Drosophila melanogaster: one gene and its partner. The protein of the gene in region 2 purifies or fractionates together with the protein of the main gene of each other region. This does not show direct contact. Each region holds a gene or a part of one and is shown on either strand. Other genes may lie near its edges.

The links.
Region 1: the proteins of Nf-YB (region 2) and Nf-YA purify together in Drosophila melanogaster (affinity purification with mass spectrometry, with the first as the bait; 2 studies listed by BioGRID). This does not show direct contact.

The regions. Positions count from the first base shown.
Region 1 is NT_037436.4:9,439,556-9,448,100, forward strand, and holds Nf-YA (nuclear factor Y-box A), read right to left. Parts: upstream 2,713-8,545; 5' UTR 2,608-2,712; coding exon of another isoform or gene 2,569-2,607; intron 2,412-2,568; 5' UTR 2,338-2,411; coding exon 1,138-2,337; 3' UTR 501-1,137; downstream 1-500. Other genes in the region: Bet3 (blocked early in transport 3), read right to left, coding at 1-5, 2,569-2,607; Srg3 (Sting-regulated gene 3), read left to right, coding at 3,776-3,809, 6,147-6,730; CG3529 (uncharacterized protein), read left to right, coding at 7,441-7,507.
Region 2 is NT_033779.5:19,732,578-19,740,206, forward strand, and holds Nf-YB (nuclear factor Y-box B), read left to right. Parts: upstream 1-3,466; 5' UTR 3,467-3,558; coding exon 3,559-3,631; intron 3,632-3,695; coding exon 3,696-4,003; intron 4,004-4,056; coding exon 4,057-4,146; 3' UTR 4,147-4,511; downstream 4,512-7,629. Other genes in the region: CG10462 (uncharacterized protein), read right to left, coding at 74-99, 168-492, 586-1,013, 1,062-1,835, 1,893-2,364, 2,423-2,644, 2,935-3,056, 3,190-3,259.

The DNA of each region.
Region 1 (8,545 bases), on a different chromosome or scaffold from region 2:
GAGTTCTGTGTTTTGATTTTTCGTTTGTTGTACAAAGGAGGAAGAGAGGAGAGAGCAGATAGCGAATAAAAATCAATCCAGAGCCAGAATAAAGCGTTTTATAGGCCTGTACCATATACAAAACTGTAGCCATTCACGAGTTCCGCAGTAAATGTATATGCTTTTTTTTTTTAATTTTATAAACTGTGTTGCATTTATTATGCGGCAAATGGTCCTCAATGGTGCTTTACCCGTTACTCGTAGATTCAAAGAGTATACTAGATTCGTTGAAAAGTATGTAACAGGCAGAAGGAAGCGTTTCCGACCATATAAAGTATATATATTTTTGATCGGAATCAGTAGCCGAGTCGATGTAACCATGTCCGTCTGTCCGTTTAAAAGAGATCTCAGGAAATATAAACGCTAAAGGGTTGATATTGAGGTTAATGATAGAGACCACGACGCAGCGCCCACAAGCCGCACAAAATTGCCACTCCCACACTTTTGAAAATTTTTTGGATATTTTTTCATAATTTTATTAGTCTTCTATCGATTTGCCAAAAAATTTGTTTGAAATTTATGAACTTTTGAAATTTCGAGTTCGCATTTCCAAAAGCTGAGTAACGGGTATCTGATAGTCGGGGAAGGCGACTATATCATTCACCCTTGTTGAATCTTATATTGTTGAGCTCTGTTGTTTTGCGGTGACTATTGGCAGCCCTTTCCCCATTCCATTTTGAAATGAACTATAAACCCTAAATTAATAATTGCATTACTTGTGTAAATTTTGAAAATGTCTAGTAAATGAAATAAATTCTCTATTTAATAATTACAAACAATTTTTAACAGCTGGCTAACAGAAAATAAATATTAGAAATTAGAAACGATTTAGAAAATGAATATAATAAGTAAAACAATTATCTCTTTCTTGAACTTATCACTTTTCCAATCTAAGTGAATGAAAATAAATAGAAAAACCCAAAAATTCCCTTTGAAAATAATATATGAAGACTTAATTTTGAAAAAAAAAAAAAATGAAAACTATGTGAGCCGACTAAAGTGGTGTGATTGAGGACAAATGGACACAGAGCGACTGGCTTAGGACTAAACGCTATGACTACAATCTTATCTAGTTTGTATCCTACAGCTAGGAGGCGACTATTCCGATTTGATCGCCGTTATGGTAATGCTGGGCGTTTGATGTGGCGCGATCAGTTTGGGCGGAGCACGTGCCGTGCCACGGCTGAGGGTGACGCCGCCACTGGACGCCATTGGCATGCTGCCGCCTTCCGGGCCGGACGAATCTTGGTCGCCCTTCTCCTGTGCCGAATGGAAGCGACCACCCTCGCCACGAGCCCGATTCATGGCGTGGCGATGACGAGATTCGTGCAGATACTTGCACCGTTCCTTGGGTATGCGCGACTCTAGCTTGGCCCTGGCCTGCCGCCGAATGAGAATACGTTTGTACTGCTTGGCATTCACATAGAGCGGCTCCTCGTCCGCCTCGCCCTTGGAGCTCTCGTCCTCGCTGTTCGTATTCGTTCCAGTTGTACTTGTGCTGACATCGGCGCTTATATTATTGACTGCAGCACTGGCAGCCACCGCCGCCACCGTCTGCTGCTGTTGCTGCTGCTGCTGGTTTTGGGTCTGGGATTGTACTTGTTGATGCTGCTGCTGTTGTTGTTGGGTAACCACTGTGCCCACTCCGGCGCCTACTCCGGCATTGGCGGCCGCTGCATTCACCGCTGCCATCGCTGTCTGCGGCACCATTATAATCTGTTGCCCAGCTGTGGGTGCCGCCTGATTAGCGCTCGGTGCTGGATTGATCTGCACCAGCTGCCCATTGATATTGAGGTAGTGCGGCGTCGGCTGGGCTGCCATGGCAGCTGCGGCGTTGGCCGCTGCATTCGGATCCAAGGCGGCAATGGTGGGCGTCTGATAGAATATAGTCTGGCCATCGGGCAGCTGCATCACCTGCATCTGTGGCTGCTGCTGCGCAGCCTGCAGCATAATCTGGTTGGCCTGCAGCGGTATCAATTGTGGCTGCAGACCCGTCGCCGTCGCCTGACCCTGTGGCTGCTGGCCAATTATGATTTGCGCCGCTCCGGTGGGCAGCATGGGCATTGGTATCACTTGGATGGGTTGTGCCGTTGCTGCGGCATTTGTGGCTCCTCCGGCTGCAGTGCTAACACTTAAATTGTTGCCGGTTGTTGCGTTGTTGTTGCTGCTGCTATTGCTGTTGTTATTGTTGTTGCCGGCGGCGGCGGCGGCGCTGGCGGCAGCACCGACGGCAGAGGCGGTGGTGCACATTCTGGGCGTGGCTGAGGGGCGACTGGTGGCGCTGAAATGGTTTTCCATTGCCTGATTGCACGTCGGCTTGTGCCTGTCTGTGTGTCCGTGTCTCAACCTCAAGCCCCCAACACACACACTTACTGGAAAAGTGAATGAAGCCGATTTTGAGGGTGGATGGCACGTCAAAGATTCGTTCTTAGGCACTATGGCACAAATCTAACCTTACAACTAGATCTATGCCTCCAAATGACTAACGATACCGATCTTGCGCTGTTCTCTCTTCTTTGGCCAACTTACCACTTTCTTGGCGTCCAAACGAGAGGCTTGTCGTGACATTTTCCGGCTGTTTACGTTTGGATATTTAACAATTGAAAATAAAATTTTCTGTTTTTCCTAGTTTTACAGAGCAGGGTTGTCAGGGTACAATGCTGAAACACATCAAAATTGGCCAGGGCTGCAAGCGCTGTGCATATCGGTTGGCGTCACGGGAAAAGTGAAAGTATCGCTCAAAGTCGCAGTTATATTTAAAATTTTTGAAAAAGTATTGTAAGAGTCCAAAAAAATAATAAATGTGTGCAGCAGTTTAAAAAGAATGCACATATATTCAAAAACGTATTTTTTTTTGCTATATTAATATGTTATCAGTATAATAAATTTATTTAATAAATACATTAATTAATAAATTTGCGCTAACGTTATTTGGGAGTAAATTCCCAAGAATAAAAATGCAAAAATGTTTCAAAATGGCAGATCTAACTATCTATGTACTACTTATAGGGCTCAAGAAAGTAAAAAAATAATGCGATAGAATAATCGGCTCCCCAACATTTTGCACGCTAGACCTCCTCAAACCTTAACTCCTCAGACCTTAAGGACATTTCAGGAATATTTCATTAAATTAAAAAATCATTAAAAATTTTCCACTGTTTTTGAGATAATAACATAACAGTGGGAGGAGTTTAAGATCCGCCCTCTTTAGTACCAATACCACAACCAATCCATGTCATGAACCGCTTTATTAACAATAAGATTTCTGCAATAGATCTGCAACATTAAGATTTCAGTGGGAGGGACAGTGGGTGGGACAGTCGGCTATATTTAAATGCTGCAAAACTCCAATTTATCCCCGGCGATGACTCCTGTCCTTCTGTCCTTCCGGTGCTTTCGTCCTTCTGACGGGGTATCCAAAAATATAAAAAGAAATTAATGCTAGTTTAAAATTAAATGCTATTTGTAAAAATAATTAAAATATTGTGCCATATGTTAATGTTACCAGTCCATGTCACTCAAGAAAAGTACTTAACTTAAAATACTTATACTAAACGCTATGACCCAACCCCCATACTCACCACAGCAATGTTAGATTAAAAAATTTAATAAATTGTACTTATATATATTGCATGGCTGCAGAACATATATCATTCAGTCTCCGTACTTCCACCAGTGAAAATACCATAACATAAAATAACCAGTGAAAATAACTATAATAAATAACTCCACCGCAATGGGAAATATTTCCTCCAATATTAGGGCCATAGGTATGAAACCTATGGAACCTTTAATAATTTTAGTGAACTCTAGTTCTCCGTATTTTTTTCAATTTGTATCTTATTTTGGATAATGTTCGTTACATTTTAATAATAATAATATATTTAATTATAATGCCACGTAAATTGCGAGGTTTCTGATCCGAAAGATATAATTACAACACCAAAAAGTGTGGCAAGTGTACATACATACAGTTTGTCAAGAAACTGTTTACACACTGTAAAATAAGTTGAATTTTTGACTTTAAAGCTAAAAATAAAGGGTTTTTTGCTTAATTAAACGCAATTTTTTTATAAAATATAATTAAACAATATTTATTTTACTTATAAATCAAAAAACAAATTAAAAATATTAAATATACAAGAAAATAAACAACAAATTCCAAGTGTACACACTTTTGAGACTGTCAAGAAACTCTTTACACAAAACACTAAATCGAAGTTTAAACCTAAATTTTTTAATTATTTTATTAAAATTTTAAAAGTTTTGGTATGTAGTATGTTCCCCATTGGCTTTAGCTACAAGTTGAAGCCTTTTTTTCATGGATTGGACAAGTTTTTGCAGGTCATATTCAAACGGGATCTTTTCACACTCTTCGACTATTACAGTCATAAGCTGTTGTTGTGTTTTAGGTCCCTTTTTGCCACCTTCTTCTTTAAGTAGGTCCACAAATTTTCAATGGGGTTCAGATCAGGACTCTGAGGGGGCGTATCGATCACTTTACCACAGTTATAAGGGCGCCAGGTGCGTACATTGCACTCTTTATGTTTCTTATCATGTCCTGGTAAAACATAAAATTTGGCTTGTTGTTGCTAACTAGACCAAATTTTTCTGCACTGGCCTTCAAATTTTTTTTTTTAATTCCTAGATATTGCACGGCATTTATTGTGCTCTCAATTAAGGCTAGTTTTCCCACTCCACGGCTGGTGATACAGCCCCAAACCATCAGTGACATTTTTCCAAATTTTATTGTTGGAATGATATTTTGTTTTTCTAGCGCACTCAACGGTTTGCGCCATACTCTGCTTGGCCCGTCGTTATAAAAGAGCATCATATTTGTTTTGTCACAAAATATGACGTCATCCCAGTACTCTTCCGCATGATCCATCATGCTCATAGCGAATAAATGACGCTTTTCAATATTGGCATCTGATAGCAAAGGGTTTTTCCTTGCAACTCTTGAAGAGTACCTATGGCGTAGGATGACTTGGCGCACAGTTTCGTGTGACACAGTTAGGTGACATTCTTGCCTGATATCCAGAGCAAGTGATCTGACCGAGATTCGGGGGTTCGCAATCACTATTCGCATAATAAAGCGGTCTACACGCTTTTTAATTTTAATTTTCCGCCCACCACCACTCTTAGGTTCAAGCCTGCCCTCTTTTTCCGAGCCTTTTAAAACATTGTAGACGGTCTTACGGGATACAGGAAACATTTATACTAATTCTGGAAAAGATTTTCCCAACTGGTGGTTATAGTTTATTAATTGGGTAACTTCAAAAGTTAATCTCTTTCCAGGCATTTTATTAAATTTAATAATTCGCTTTAAGCACGTTTGATCAGCAAAATTTCACAAGCAAAGTCAACAAATTTCAATAGAAGCGTTGTAAAAAGCAATGTAAAGCCAAAAATAACGGAAAAATCGAGTTCGTTCTAAGAAAAAGAACAAAACAAAGTAGGAAAACAAAATGTGTAAAGAGTTTCTTGACAGTCTCAAAAGTGTGTAAACTTGGAATTTGTTGTTTATTTTCTTGTATATTTAATATTTTTAATTTGTTTTTTGATTTATAAGTAAAATAAATATTGTTTAATTATATTTTATAAAAAAATTGCGTTTAATTAAGCAAAAAACCCTTTATTTTTAGCTTTAAAGTCAAAAATTCAACTTATTTCACAGTGTGTAAACAGTTTCTTGACAAACTGTATGTGTCGCAAAGAATTCCGGGGAAAAACACGTTTCTTCTCAGTTTATACCCTACGTGCGAGGCATATGATTTGTCCTATCAGCCTGTTGGAACCGCTAACTCATATATTCCTTAATCTAACCAAAAACAAATTTTGCGTCGTATTTGTGAATAATGCACCGATTGATTTGATTGATTGCTTTAAGAGCGGCAGAGAGCAAAGATTACAGATAATAGGATAATGACTATTATAGTCAGAACACAATATTCTGTAAGAATCATGCAACTTATAGTTAGATCTAAATGGGCTTAAGATTATGGGTCTTGGAACAGAGAAGTTTAGCCGACTAACCAAGTCGGGACTATCAAAATATAAGTCTCAAAGCCTCACTCACTAATATACCCTACGTTCTCTTCTTTCAGAGGACGAATCCTATGAACTGTCCTCGGAAATCTGGGCCGTCGACATGGAGATCACTGACAGCGAGACCGACGACGTGCCCGTCAGCAGGAGCGTTAGCGTCAGCGCGAACGTCAGCGGGAACGTCAGCGGGAACGTCAGCGGGAAAGTCAGCGGGAACGCTAGAGGAGCCTTCAGCGGGACCCTCAGCCAGACCGTCAGCGCTACCGTCAGCGGGACCGTCAGCGCGACCGTCATTGGATTGGTCATCAACGAGTTCGTTCCAATGCCATTCAGTGGGACTCTCAGCGGGATCCTCAGCGGAACCCTCAGCGGGACCGTCGAAGGGACCATCAGCCGGACCGTCGACGGGGCCGTCAGCACGACCGGCAGCGGAACCATCGAAGGGACCGTCAGCGGAACCGTCAAGGGGACCGTCCGTGGGGCTATCAACGGGACCATCAGCGGAACCATCAGTGGGACCGCCAGCGGTACCGTCAGAAGGACCGCTGACGGAAAGCTCATTTTTGAGACAGGTGCAAGGTTGAACAATCGAAAATTCATTATCCACGAAATCTGTGGAATGAATTGTGAAATAACTCTTTGAAATTACAAAGTTTTTGAGATACATAACACGCTCTGTGAACAACCATGACTATGAGGTACCCGTTACTCAGCTAGTCGGATTGCGAATAAAATGAGAAAAAATTAAAATTGTTTAAAGATGTGGGTGTGATTACAATCCAAAAGGTGCAAGGTGCAAGGTGAACAATAAAACTAAGAACAATCTAATGTGGGCGTTGGAGTGGTCATGGAAACATGGGTCAACAATCTTGGGCTGCGTCTATGTCTCTGGAATCTGCACGCTTAATCTAAACATTCTAGCTTAAATAGTTCCTGAGATCTCGACGTTCAAACGTACAGACAGGCGGACATCGCCAGATCGACTCGGCTACTGATCCTGATCAAGAATATATATACTTTATATGGTCTGCCTGTTACATACTTTTCAACGAATCTAATAAACCCTTTTACTCTACGAGTAACGGGTATAACTATGTCATTATCTCAAAAACTGTGGATAATTCTTTTAAATAAAATGAAATAAAATGCTGCAGCCCTGGAAAAAAACCTATTCCTATTTACCCACTTATTGTAATGCATTTCTTTGTGGGTATTTTTCGCTGAGGCCAGCCATGGTCACTCTGCTGTAGACAAGTGCATAAACATTTCATCCAGGTGAACAAAAAGTAAATAAAGAACAATTTTAACCGCACTGCAACCCAACGGCGAGCATTAATAAGAAACTTCTCCACGATGGCTTCATTTTTCAACGTTGGCGCCTTGGGAAATGTTTTCTCCACTCCAGTTGGCCAGCGCATAGGTGAGTAAACCACCCTCCCCCCTCCAGCGTAAAAAAAACACCCACCGGAAGCGGGGGTGTGTGTATATGTGGTTAAAGCGTAATATTTTCCACAAATACAACGCATATGCGTTGATATTTACGCATTTACATTGATAGTTATCTGATTAGAGGACGCTTCAAGGCAGTCCCAATCAGACTGGGCCATTGGAAAATTGAATTTTCACAACTTTCTTCGTGCGTTTGCTTGTTTTCTTGTTTTGTTGTTGGTCTCTCACACACACGCGCACATTTCCATGTAGCGATACTCATTTGTTGTTGCCAGACCATTACTATGGCAAAGCGGTCTGATTTGATTTGAAAGGCGGTGGCAACAACGGTGGGCCTCTGATAAGATTAACCCTTATATGAGTATGCGGTTCCAACAGGCAGGTGTGACAAATCAGATAAATGTTTGTTGGTATGCTTTATGAAATTGCTCACCTTTTGGCACGCACACAAAGAGTATTGTTATTGATGCGCTCTTTTATTGTTTGATTGCCTGTTTTCCCTTCACCCCCTCCTGGCGGCCACCTGTTTTGCGCCCTTAGTAATCGCAATTAGTCATCGTTGCCGCTGGCCGCTGGGTTACATAAAAAAATGTGTTAATTTATTTCGTGTTCCCCTTTGGCTCGCATTTTCGCCATAATTTCCATTTGCCGCTGCACACACAACAAACACAGATACACACATTTACGTGCAATCGTGCATATGTATTAGTGCCGTACTAATTTGTTGCTTCGCTTTTTTTATGAGCTCACATTTTGTTATTGTATTGCGGTTGGTTAGCTTTTCCCATATCTCCTATATCTGTTGGATATCAGTGTTACGATATCTGATATCTGAGAAATACACTTTGCGCAATGGTTTCGTTTTGGATTTAAACAAATTGCTTTGTGCATTTTTAATTCGAGCAAGTCATTGCACTTGGTAGATCCTAAATTATAAACGAAAGATAATGCTCGCCCACCTGTTAAAAAACACAGTTTCAGCCGCCCATAAAAACAAACAAAGGAATGC
Region 2 (7,629 bases):
CCTGCACTATTCCGTGGGAATACCTCTCCAGACTTTATAGCGAATTTTCAATACCATCCTGCAATGTTCCTTTCTAGTTCCTAATCGCATTTCCTGTATCTTATGAGCCAGTTTAAAAAAGACAATATTTCATAAAATAAATAAACAACTCACTGATAACGACTTACCTATTGCAGTTTCTGGCGGGGTTGAGTTGGTTTGATCACGTTGGGACAAAATGTTGAGCGGGTCCTCACTGCGTAAGTAGCCGTTGTGCTCTGGGTGATACTGGAACACCACCTCTCCCCTGATGACCCGCACGCGGGGACCATGGGCTCGAGCGGTGAACTTAACCTTCCCACAGGTGTCTGGCCGGAGACGACGATGAGCTCGTAAGCCGCTGACAACTACAAAGTATTTATCGCATCCGTAGCATTTATACCGCTTCATCCCAATATGCCGTGATAGATGGGAAATTAAAGTTTCCCGGTGAGTAAAGTCTAACGAGCATATCTGCAAAGGGGAAACAGAAAATTGCAATAAATCAATTAACAAATGTCTAATTTCGCTAAGGTAAGCATAGGCTCAATTCTTATACCTTCTCACCTTGCACTTAAATGGTTTCTCTCCGGTGTGACGACGGTGGTGTACCCGCACTTGTCCAGGAGTTCGGAAACGTTTGTCACAGTAGCTGCACTGGTAAGGCAGTTCCCCCGTGTGTATGGACTTGTGAATGCGCAAGGCTCCAAAAGTAGTAAACACTTTTAAGCATTCGGTGCACTGGAACGACTGATTTTTTTTGGGCTTCTTGGAGACCTTTGGTTTTTCTATATTTATACTTGTCGGGGATAAACCTTTGTTAACAGGCACATTGGATAGTGCTGATGTCTGGCCTGTTAATGGAGCAGACGTTTTACTTAGCAATAAAGGCAAATTAACAGTATTGGGTAGTTCTGGAGGAGGCACAGGCGTTTGTGGATTCAATGGCACATGCACTCTTTGAGTTGCAGCATTTGCTGAGTCCTGTGAAAGTACTGCAAGGGCAATTAAAACGAGCACGTTCAAAATTTTAGTTTACTTACTTTTAGAAGGCATTAAAACCACTTTAAGGACGTTACACTTTTCATCGGTTAAGTCGTGCTTGTTAGTCAGATGCGCACGAAATGCGCAATGCTTCTCAAACATTCGCTGGCATAGCGGACAAGTCCACATAAATCGATATAGCGGGTATTGGATCTCCAGTTCCCTGGCCACCATTAAAGCCGACGGGTTGAGCATCAGTTCTACGGGTTTGGGTGCATCCATGGGAGACGACGTTGATTCATCCATCGTTACTTTCGAGGATTGTAGCACTGTTCCCGGCAGTGGCAATGTCTTCTCTATGGACCGAATTTGATTACGAAATTCATTGATTATCTTCATGGATTCGGGTCTGCTCTTGGAATTGTTAAACGAGTCGACAAGAAAGCACGATGATCGACTGTGAGTTTGGGTTGGTTGCACAGTCTTAGCAGACGCATGAGGATTACCCATGGAACCGACAGTACTTATACTTATCGTCTTCGGAATCTTTATGAAATTGGTTGAATTCTCCGTACCACTCAGAGTTACGGTGGGAGAGTCCTTAGGGGCAGCCGGAGCTTGACCTGGCGTCTTAAAAATTTTTGTGTTGGGAGGCAACTTGATGACCATGCAGTTACTAGGTAACACTTTCAGTATATTGGCTGCAATTGAGGAATTTGAAGGTTCTTGGTTGGAAATCGGAATATTCGCATCATCGGATATCACTGAGTGATTGGATTTCTTGTTAAGAGATTCCACATTAGACGTTAGTAGTCCATTTCGCTTAACACCTGCTGAGAAGGTAGTAATAATTATGTAACTACTTTTGTTATTAATTGCAAAGAACTTACGTTTTAAGTGCATCTGATTTTTGGTAGTGGCCAGAGCAGGCAGGCGCAGTTTATTCCTCAACGGAGTATGTATGGCTGTCCAGACGCTACCATTTGACTGTTCCTCCTTAATCCTACTCACATCTGGCATTTCCTCGTCCTGTGGTTCCAATTTTACATTGAGTGGAGGGTTGTCTTCCAATAGCATTCGGTCTGCTTCCTCTGCGTTAAGTGGCTCTTCTTTTATTTGCACATAGCAATTCGACTCTTCAGGTACCGGCGTACTAACTGCCACAAGTTCCGGCTTTGATGATGACCCCTTTCTGAAATCCAGCAGGCTGCAAAAGTCCTGGCTCTGCTTCCTATGCAGATTGAGGCTCTGTTTGGACTCAAAATGCCGACGACAAATGGAGCAAACAAAGCGATATACGTAAATGTGCTTTTGCATATGGCTGGCCAGATCGTCCGCGCTATTGGCCATAAAATCGCAAACCTAAAACGTTCACTGTTTAATCAATGTGTGTATAAAAGTTAAATGCAGATGAGCTCACCCTACAGCACAACACACGCCCTGGCTGGAAATGCTGGCGATATTCATGCTCAAGGATCTTTTCAAGCGTGTCCAGCCAGATACCACAGCCCAGGCGACAAAAATGTAGGTTCATTTCGTGATGAACCCGGTGACTTGATATATCCTGTTGGCTTTTAAACTTGTACTGGCAAATATCGCAATGTTTTGGATTTGGGTTGTCCTCCGATTCAGACGCAAATATCTGGGGGTGTAAGTATTAGCTGATTAAATTTTGTATTAATGCGTTAGCAAAAATCGTACATATACATGTAGCTTGAATTTAGATAGATAATTATGATTACATATATTTACATTTATTATGCAGCCTAAATATGATACTTTGTAAAATTATGACAAAATGTTTAATATATATGTTTAGATTTATGACAGTTATGTCTTCCTTTCGATTAATATTTAGATCCCGTAACGGAATCTCCACGCTACCACGCGACCCTTGTGCTTTTTTAGGTTATGTACATGTATATTTTTTACCTGTTGGTGGCCGAGTTCCAGGCTGGCGATAAATAGGCGCTCGTCCTCGGAACGCAAACGATCCCTGATCGGCACTGTTATCATTTGAGATCCCTCGTCCAAAATTTTCAGCGTATCACATGCTATAAATTGGCCGAATTTAGAAAGAATTAAAAGTTAACGGTAAAGTGCGTAATAGAATAGCAGAGACACCAACACTACGGCGCCCAGCAGCACTCACACACACGCATGTGGGAGGAGAGCATGCAAGCTTACCGCTCAGAATTCTGATTGAACTGTCCGTCACTTCGTCCTGCGGCTCCATCTTGATCTTGATGTCCTCCATGTCAATTTCCCCCTTGGCCAGCGCCAAATTCGCGAGAATTCCGTTCTGATCAGAGGATATCAGATCAACAACTATCAATATAAAGAAGAGAGCAGCAGCGCAATAAATACCGCTGTATACCGCTGCGATCAGAAGACGACTATCGATAGGCGCGGCGTTGCCAGATCAAGTGGCGCAATTATCGGGTGGAGCGGTCAGCCTTCACCACTTGGGGTGGTTATCGATTGACGATAGCCCTCGCAATTTGGGAAAGTAAACAAAAGCAAATCCGTTGAAGAAATCTGTTAAAAATCCAAGATATGAGCAATAGCGAGGACTCGCAGCAGTATCTGAACGACATGCTGGTCAAGGAGGAGGACGAGGCGTCCGGCGGTAAACAAAAGACCATCCACAACCGCGTGTTTTGTTGCTTGACTTTGATTTTTCACCCCCGCAGACGATTCGGACAAACAGGATGGAGGGATAATGCTACGCGAACAGGACCGATTTCTGCCCATCTGCAACATCATTAAGATCATGAAGGTTCCGGTGCCCCAGAACGGCAAGATAGCCAAGGATGCACGAGAGTGCATCCAGGAGTGTGTCTCCGAGTTCATATCCTTCATTAGCAGTGAGGCCATCGAACGTAGCGTCGCGGAGAATCGCAAGACAGTCAACGGGGACGACCTGCTGGTGGCGTTCAGCAATCTGGGATTCGACAATTACGTGGAACCACTGTCCATTTACCTGCAAAAGTACCGAGAGGTCAGTGAGATTACGCTATGCACAGCAGTTAATAACCAAGTAACCCATTGCAGTCGAACAAATCGGATCGTAATCTCTTTCTGGACGCCAGTTATCCGCACAACGAAGATGGGTCCTCCGCAAACGATGCGGGGAAACAGTAACCCCTTTCTTACTTACCCTGTTAGTTAAGGTTCTTTTGACATTAAGGAAATATTTGTCTAATTCAAAGTGTTTTGTTTAATCCTAACAGTACACCTTGATTGACTATTTAAGTTAATATTATCATTACTATTCTTTCTGATTATTTAATTTTTTATTTTGTATATATGATATATGATTTTATTTTAATTGTAACCACAGATTTTATATGCATAAATCCATTTTTACTCTCCCGATACATAGTCAAATTCAATATTTAGGTCTTGGTACTGGTAGCAAACATGAATTTATGTATCGCGGGCCCATTAAGCCAAATTACTGATACTCTTATATAAAATAAATATGTTTATTTAGTAAACATTAATATAAAAACTAGATTTGTTGTTGGTAAGGGCTAATATTGTGAAATATTAAAAACATTTTACGAGTTATCTTAATTGTAGATCATTTTCCGTAGCTGTAGCTGACAAGGAACGACATTCACATACTTACATAAGTAATAGAAAGTAATACAAGCAATCTGCTAAAAATTATATTATCCTAGCCGGTATCCTTCACTGCCCTAGGAAACCGGGACGGAGGCTTTCTCTTCTTGGCTATCCACTCACTTTCGTAAATTACGAGTGGAGCGTTTTCGATCCCAAGGGCGCCCTTCTCAAGCGAAGCGATGGCACTGCCCACCTTTTTACCAAAGACACTAGAATAACAAGATGCGTAACGCCATACGATTTTTTGGCACACGATTTTTTTGCCGTGGCTCTAGAGGTGGCTCCAGGCTCTCTGGAATTTTTGTTAGAGAGCGAGAGAGCGAAGAGCGCTACAGCGAACAGCTCTTTTCTACGCATACAGTGATAACAGACAACTTTATGTGTGCACACGTATGCTCATGCATTGTAAATTTGACAAAATATGCCCTTCACCGTAGAAGTTCTTAGACTTTAAATCTATATTATTTTTGATCAATTGGCATCATGCGAAAAATTCTTGTTTGCATTGCCTTAACGTTATTATTATTTGAAAACAGATTAGAAATAGCCAAATCCATGTACATATCATAACAAAATAAATTTCAAAAATTACTTTATATTAGAATATTTGTCATTAGAGTATTCAGCTTGCGGCGTGTGAAAAATTAATAAGGCAATGATTGTTGAGTGCTTGTGTCCGCACTTCGTGCCTCAAGATATGACCAAAACAAAGACACTAGAATAATTCTAGTGTCTTTGATGTGACTTTTGCAATAAACAGTTTTCATATTTTTATTTATTTTACAAAGACAAATTAGAGAGACAGTTTAGAATTAAAATGCTGAGGAAAGAAAACTCAAACCTAAAAAAAAAATAAGTTAGGTTGGAATCTAAGACCGAAAAAAACATATATTCTGAAATAGATAAAATTAATTTAACAGGAAATGAAAAAATATTAACGAAAATGCTTTTTAAGGAAAAAAGGGCACAAATACAAGATGGAAAAAAAAATTGTTTGCTCAGAGCATATATTACAGGTCCACTTCGACATATACGTTCTTAAGAGACTCGCTGAAATTAAATTTTCCAAGTCCATCATCTTTGCAAAAGTGGAACAGCATAAAAAAGTTACAGCCAGGAGACAACGAATGTTTGTACTCAGCCCTTAAAGAATCTATAAAAGAAATGAATGCATCTGATAAAGAGTGCATATTGGCTTGTGATGAAGTAGCGATAAAAAAAACCTAACTTACAATGTGTCAGTTGATATAATAGATGGAATAGAGCATTTACTTGATCGCTCTAATAAAATCCTAAGCCATATTTGCGTATTTGTTGTTCGGGGTATTTAAAAAAAATGGAAATTTATATTAAACTATTTTGTGGCCGAAACGAATATAAAAGGCGATTGCTTAAAAAGTCTTATTTATAAAAATATTATTATTGCTGAAACAATTGGGTTCAAAGTAAGGGGTGTTGTGTACGATCAAGGAGGTAACAATAGAAAATGTACCTCATTACTTAAAGTCACCAATGAGAAATCTTACTTTACCTTAAATAATAAAAAATATTATATGTTTTATGACATTCCGCATCTTTTCAAGTCTGTAAGGAATAATTTTCTAAGAGCTAATTTTGAAACCCCTGACGGACTAGTTGACTTTGATGTCATTCGAGAGGTTTACGAATTAGATCATGGATCAGTAACGAGAATGACTAAATTAACAAGGAGTCACGTTAATCCAACCAGATTTGATCTAATGCGCGTATGTTTGGCAACTCAAACACTTAGCCACACTGTTGCAGCGGCAATTAAGACTTGTAACCAAAACAAGCAATTACATCGAAATAGTTCCGAAGTTGCAGCTTCTACGGCTGCATTTGTCCAAAAAGTTAATGATTACTTTGATTGCCTGAATAGCAGAGTATTAACTGACAAAAACCCCATGAAATTCGCGCTCCAAGTTAACAATGGAGTTTGGAACAAACTAAAGGAAATGCAGGAATACCTAAAGAGCGTTAAATATCACGGGAATAAAATATATTGTGTTGATGGCTTGATCCAAACTACTGAAGCTATATTTGGACTCCTCGAAGATCTCTTTAAGGATCACACAGACCACTTTTTCTTTTTAACTAGTAGATTAAACCAGGATGCCCTTGAAAATATATTTGCGTGCGTTCGAGCAAAAGGTGGTAACTGCAGAAATCCTTCAGTTAACGAATTTAATATAATAATTGCCAAGCTCATATCTCTACACATTTTTAAATTTTCACAAAAGTCGAATTGCGAATCAGATGATGTTATGTTGCCAATAGAGTTCGATTCGATAATATATCAGCCTTTCGTTGAAAAAAAGAAATACAGCAACAAGAATACTCTGTATCATTTTCCAAAATCGTGCAAGACAATGAGAGGTACTTTGACCAAAATATAGATAACTTTGTGCAATGATGTACCCATTGAATTAACTTCCAGTAGATATTTTGTTGGATATATTGCTAAGGGATCCAGTTGCGATAAATGCAGATCGGTAATTTTAAAAGAAACCGAGCATTTAACAGCTCCATCAGAGCTTTTTATACATGAGAAAAACTACTCAATAGAATCGGACTTCGGGAAATTAAAGGCACCATCTGATTTATTTTTTAATGTTTGCAAAATACACATTAAAGCTTTCGAAAATATTTTTAAAAATAATAAAAAACAAATGTGTATAAAAAAATGTATTATTGAGCAATGCATTAAGTGCACAAATGAAAGTAGTGCCTTCTCATTATGGTTTTATGAAAATAATGAATGTTATGCACATAGAACAGATCTTTTAAACAAACTTATAAAAGTTTTGCTTTTTAAGCATTGTAAGTGGACTGTGATAGCTGATAGACAAAAAAAGCAAGCTAAGCTCAGCATTCTATCTCATAAATAAATATTATTTTATTTAAATATTAATATTTAAATAACTGACGACTGAAAAATCGAGCAATATATAATAAAAAACAATAGTTAGAAAAATA